Linked DNA regions of Saccharomyces cerevisiae S288C. The protein of the gene in region 2 purifies or fractionates together with the protein of the main gene of each other region. This does not show direct contact. Each region holds a gene or a part of one and is shown on either strand. Other genes may lie near its edges.

What was found. The genes of interacting proteins can lie anywhere in the genome.
Region 1: the proteins of SMX2 (region 2) and BRR2 purify together in Saccharomyces cerevisiae (affinity purification with mass spectrometry; 5 studies listed by BioGRID, with this or other methods). This does not show direct contact.

The regions. Positions count from the first base shown.
Region 1 is NC_001137.3:533,915-537,676, reverse strand, and holds the start of BRR2 (ATP-dependent RNA helicase BRR2), read left to right. Parts: upstream 1-1,655; coding exon 1,656-3,762. Other genes in the region: RAD24 (Rad24p), read right to left, coding at 1-1,377.
Region 2 is NC_001138.5:101,838-104,517, reverse strand, and holds SMX2 (mRNA splicing protein SMX2), read right to left. Parts: upstream 820-2,680; coding exon 586-819; downstream 1-585. Other genes in the region: GNA1 (glucosamine 6-phosphate N-acetyltransferase), read left to right, coding at 56-535; LPD1 (dihydrolipoyl dehydrogenase), read left to right, coding at 1,391-2,680. UniProt on the Saccharomyces cerevisiae protein: Plays a role in pre-mRNA splicing as a core component of the spliceosomal U1, U2, U4 and U5 small nuclear ribonucleoproteins (snRNPs), the building blocks of the spliceosome.

The sequences.
Region 1 (3,762 bases), on a different chromosome or scaffold from region 2:
TTGAACTTTAAATGAATTTTGTAATTTTCTTACTTTCCATTCTCTTGGAAAATAAACCGTTCCATGATTATGGCCTTGTTTACTGATGTTACGAAAGGTTTTGCGCACTTCTCGTAAACCATACTCATTGGATTCTGGTAGACCATTCATATTATCACACTCGCTCAGGCAATCCACAATTGATGATGCATCAGAAATGCTGAATTCGCCTTTATTAAATGTGTTATAGTTCTCTAATATTCCTAATTTGAAATCCTCTTTCGATAACAAATTGTTCGAATTTTCGAAGAGGTTATTAATCATTTCGTTATCGTTATTCGTGCTATGGGAACCATGTATCACCTTCCCAATGGCATGAAAGTATGATATGGTGGATTCTCGGGTTGAAATCGGCAAACTTCCACTTGATGTCGCCCAAAATTGAAGGGTCGTAATGGCCGACCTAATATCACCAGTCTCTTGCGCAATATAATCTATGACTTCCTGTCTTTTATTCCATTTATTTTTCTCCTTCAACATTTTCATATTCTGTACACAAATAAATTTCAAGTGCTTTTTTAATAAAGTGCTGTTAATTGGATTAAACTTAATTCTTTTCAACCTTGGATGCATCAATATTTCTTTGTTCATTATGGTTTCTGCACTAAATGTATAATCAATACCAAATTTGCGATAATTATTATCGTTCTCTGGAATTTCACATTCAGTTATACATATAACAAGGGGAGGTAATAGAGGCTCCGAACTATATAGCCACTGTAATATAAGTTGTTGAAATCGACGTCTGGTATCTATATGGAAGACGTTGGGAAGGTCCTCGATAAGTATTAATGACAGGTTGGACATCACAAGATACCGTGCGCCTTTTAAGAACTCACTAAAGCTTTCCATCTGAGGAAGATCGTTGACTATACAATCACCTCTAAACTCGGTCACTTTATGCTCGTTCGGGGTGCTTCGAAAGGACGTTCCGTTGCTGTTTTGTCTGTATTTAGGAACTAAGATTTTTGAGAGTTCTTTTATGACCGTACTTTTAGAGCATCCACTGGGGCCAGACAGTAGTAGGATCCTATGCTTGGCGTTAGGTAAAAACATGGCATCTAAAGCTTCTTGTACATCTTTAAGTTTTCTTTTATGTATGGCCACTTGCTCCAAACAATTGGGCTTGAACTTTTCGTACCACTGTTCACCGCCGTCGTCGTTGATACTTGGGAGGATACTAGACGTATCTTGCTTGGAAAGAAAGTCATTTTCAGTGCTTCTCGCCTTACGAACTGGCGAAGTCGGTCTAGATGAGCTCCATTTTGTTATTTGCGAGCCCAATGAACTGAGACTATATTGTAATAAGGGCCGTTTGTTCAAATTCGTACTATCCATATCATTCAGACAGGAACAAACTTGATAATTAGTGGTGTTGAATCAAGTACTATTAACGCATTGTGATGATCTCTCAGATATCAATGCGTGTTTGCTTCTTTGACGATCTAATATTGAATATTGTCGCTCTTTACGAGAATATTAAAAATTTATGCTACTAAAGCTATGTCTACTATAAAGGAATAATACACTAATAGAGATAATCTTGAGTAAAATAAGGTGAAGGTAAATATAAGTAATTGCTTTGGAAGATTTACCGTGAGCCTTCGTTATTAAAAATGACTGAGCATGAAACGAAGGATAAGGCCAAAAAAATTAGAGAAATTTATCGTTATGATGAGATGTCCAATAAGGTGTTGAAAGTTGATAAACGCTTTATGAATACCAGCCAAAATCCTCAAAGGGATGCGGAAATATCACAACCAAAATCCATGAGTGGTAGAATTAGTGCTAAGGATATGGGACAGGGCCTGTGCAATAACATTAATAAAGGACTAAAAGAAAATGATGTAGCCGTTGAAAAAACTGGAAAGAGCGCATCATTGAAAAAAATTCAGCAGCATAACACCATTTTGAATTCTTCCTCCGATTTCAGGTTACATTATTATCCAAAGGATCCCTCAAATGTCGAAACTTACGAGCAGATTTTGCAGTGGGTTACAGAAGTTTTAGGCAATGATATACCCCATGATCTTATTATTGGAACTGCTGATATATTCATCAGACAATTGAAAGAAAATGAGGAAAATGAGGATGGTAATATTGAAGAGCGAAAGGAAAAGATCCAGCATGAGCTAGGCATCAATATAGACTCCCTGAAGTTTAACGAATTAGTTAAACTTATGAAAAACATTACCGATTATGAAACACATCCTGACAATAGCAATAAACAAGCAGTAGCAATTCTTGCCGATGATGAAAAATCAGATGAAGAAGAAGTAACAGAAATGTCCAACAATGCTAATGTTCTTGGGGGAGAAATCAATGATAATGAAGATGATGATGAGGAATATGATTACAATGACGTTGAAGTCAATTCTAAAAAAAAAAACAAGAGGGCATTGCCAAACATTGAAAACGATATAATTAAACTCTCCGATAGTAAAACAAGTAATATCGAGAGCGTTCCGATATACTCAATCGATGAATTTTTTTTGCAGAGAAAACTTCGGTCAGAGCTTGGTTACAAGGATACCTCTGTAATACAAGACCTGTCAGAAAAAATTTTGAATGATATTGAAACACTTGAGCATAATCCAGTAGCGTTGGAGCAGAAGTTGGTTGATCTGCTTAAATTCGAGAATATATCACTGGCTGAATTTATTCTCAAGAATAGATCTACAATTTTTTGGGGCATACGACTGGCGAAGAGCACAGAGAATGAAATACCGAACTTAATAGAGAAAATGGTTGCAAAAGGTTTGAATGATCTTGTGGAACAGTATAAATTTAGAGAAACTACACACTCAAAGCGTGAACTCGATTCCGGTGACGACCAGCCACAGTCTTCGGAAGCAAAAAGAACAAAATTCAGTAATCCAGCAATACCGCCCGTCATAGATTTGGAAAAGATTAAATTCGACGAAAGTTCTAAATTAATGACCGTGACAAAAGTATCCCTACCGGAAGGATCATTCAAAAGGGTGAAACCACAATATGACGAAATACATATTCCAGCTCCTAGCAAACCTGTTATTGATTATGAGTTGAAAGAAATTACTTCTCTACCAGATTGGTGTCAGGAGGCGTTTCCTTCATCGGAAACAACGTCCTTAAACCCTATACAATCAAAGGTTTTTCACGCAGCATTTGAAGGTGATTCAAACATGCTAATATGTGCACCCACTGGTTCAGGTAAGACGAATATCGCGTTATTGACGGTATTGAAAGCCTTATCCCATCATTATAACCCGAAAACTAAGAAATTAAACCTTTCTGCATTTAAAATTGTTTATATAGCACCCTTGAAAGCCTTAGTACAGGAACAAGTCCGAGAATTTCAAAGGAGGTTGGCTTTTCTAGGTATAAAAGTCGCTGAATTGACTGGTGATTCTAGGCTTAGTAGAAAGCAAATTGACGAGACGCAGGTTTTGGTGTCTACGCCAGAGAAATGGGACATAACTACTAGAAATTCAAATAATTTGGCCATCGTAGAACTTGTTCGTTTGTTGATTATAGATGAAATACATTTGTTACATGATGACAGGGGACCAGTATTGGAAAGCATCGTGGCTAGGACATTTTGGGCTTCCAAATATGGCCAGGAATACCCCAGAATAATAGGCCTTTCTGCCACCTTACCAAATTATGAGGATGTCGGTAGGTTTTTAAGAGTTCCGAAGGAAGGATTGTTTTATTTTGACTCCTCATTTAGACCGTGTCCTC
Region 2 (2,680 bases):
AAACTGAGCTCGAGAGAATAGTTGACGAACGGAAGCTGGATATCAACATAAAATAATGAGCTTACCCGATGGATTTTATATAAGGCGAATGGAAGAGGGGGATTTGGAACAGGTCACTGAGACGCTAAAGGTTTTGACCACCGTGGGCACTATTACCCCCGAATCCTTCAGCAAACTCATAAAATACTGGAATGAAGCCACAGTATGGAATGATAACGAAGATAAAAAAATAATGCAATATAACCCCATGGTGATTGTGGACAAGCGCACCGAGACGGTTGCCGCTACGGGGAATATCATCATCGAAAGAAAGATCATTCATGAACTGGGGCTATGTGGCCACATCGAGGACATTGCAGTAAACTCCAAGTATCAGGGCCAAGGTTTGGGCAAGCTCTTGATTGATCAATTGGTAACTATCGGCTTTGACTACGGTTGTTATAAGATTATTTTAGATTGCGATGAGAAAAATGTCAAATTCTATGAAAAATGTGGGTTTAGCAACGCAGGCGTGGAAATGCAAATTAGAAAATAGTATTGCTGTATAGTACATAGAGGTCGACATATATATATATATATATAATTTTATATGGCATCTAGAGCCTCTAGGGATATTATGGAGTTGCCCCTAATGACGGTCTGCAAGCCTAGCTGGTGGTTATTGGCAGGGTCTTCACCATTTATCTCCATTGCATCATCAAGAACGACGTTTAAGAAAATATCGTAGCCTCGCAAAATTCCTGCCACTTTCCTAGATCCATTTATATTCAGCAATATCTTCTTGTCCATATATTTCTTCAGTTCAGGGGTAGAAACCATTGTATCTGTGCGTGTGTTTGCGTAATCCTGTCCTATGCCGGATACTCTATATGCGTTGTACTTTCTTATACATTCATTGCACCTTTAGAGATTTAATTTTTCTTACCACATTGTTTCTATCAGCACAAACGTGAAAGAGCGTAGGCGAGGCTATAGGAAAAAAGGGAAATGAAGAACAGAGGAATACTCGAACAATGCCACTGACAAACGTATGCGTGACTACCACGAATAGTCATGATGCAATGTACCCTCATATATCCCACTAAAAATATATACTTACTAATGGTTTATGCACGTGAATATCACGTGAATCGTTTTTAATGATGACTCGTTTTTAGAATACTTTATCATCTCGAACGGCTGTTCCCTCATTGGCGAGAAGTCTCCGCGGAGCAACTTAATGGAAACTTAGTGTATTATAATGCTAATAAACAATTTGATGATAATTCGTACCCTTTGACTCACCTCGAATATATATAGATATATATATACATATAACGTATATTTATATATATACGGTTTTGTTCGATTGTCTCTGTCGTACCATCAAAGAACATACTAACAGTTCACAATGTTAAGAATCAGATCACTCCTAAATAATAAGCGTGCCTTTTCGTCCACAGTCAGGACATTGACCATTAACAAGTCACATGATGTAGTCATCATCGGTGGTGGCCCTGCTGGTTACGTGGCTGCTATCAAAGCTGCTCAATTGGGATTTAACACTGCATGTGTAGAAAAAAGAGGCAAATTAGGCGGTACCTGTCTTAACGTTGGATGTATCCCCTCCAAAGCACTTCTAAATAATTCTCATTTATTCCACCAAATGCATACGGAAGCGCAAAAGAGAGGTATTGACGTCAACGGTGATATCAAAATTAACGTAGCAAACTTCCAAAAGGCTAAGGATGACGCTGTTAAGCAATTAACTGGAGGTATTGAGCTTCTGTTCAAGAAAAATAAGGTCACCTATTATAAAGGTAATGGTTCATTCGAAGACGAAACGAAGATCAGAGTAACTCCCGTTGATGGGTTGGAAGGCACTGTCAAGGAAGACCACATACTAGATGTTAAGAACATCATAGTCGCCACGGGCTCTGAAGTTACACCCTTCCCCGGTATTGAAATAGATGAGGAAAAAATTGTCTCTTCAACAGGTGCTCTTTCGTTAAAGGAAATTCCCAAAAGATTAACCATCATTGGTGGAGGAATCATCGGATTGGAAATGGGTTCAGTTTACTCTAGATTAGGCTCCAAGGTTACTGTAGTAGAATTTCAACCTCAAATTGGTGCATCTATGGACGGCGAGGTTGCCAAAGCCACCCAAAAGTTCTTGAAAAAGCAAGGTTTGGACTTCAAATTAAGCACCAAAGTTATTTCTGCAAAGAGAAACGACGACAAGAACGTCGTCGAAATTGTTGTAGAAGATACTAAAACGAATAAGCAAGAAAATTTGGAAGCTGAAGTTTTGCTGGTTGCTGTTGGTAGAAGACCTTACATTGCTGGCTTAGGGGCTGAAAAGATTGGATTAGAAGTAGACAAAAGGGGACGCCTAGTCATTGATGACCAATTTAATTCCAAGTTCCCACACATTAAAGTGGTAGGAGATGTTACATTTGGTCCAATGCTGGCTCACAAAGCCGAAGAGGAAGGTATTGCAGCTGTCGAAATGTTGAAAACTGGTCACGGTCATGTCAACTATAACAACATTCCTTCGGTCATGTATTCTCACCCAGAAGTAGCATGGGTTGGTAAAACCGAAGAGCAATTGAAAGAAGCCGGCATTGACTATAAAATTGGTAAGTTCCCCTTTGCGGCCAATTCAAGAGCCAAGACCAACCAAGACACTGAAGGTTTCGTG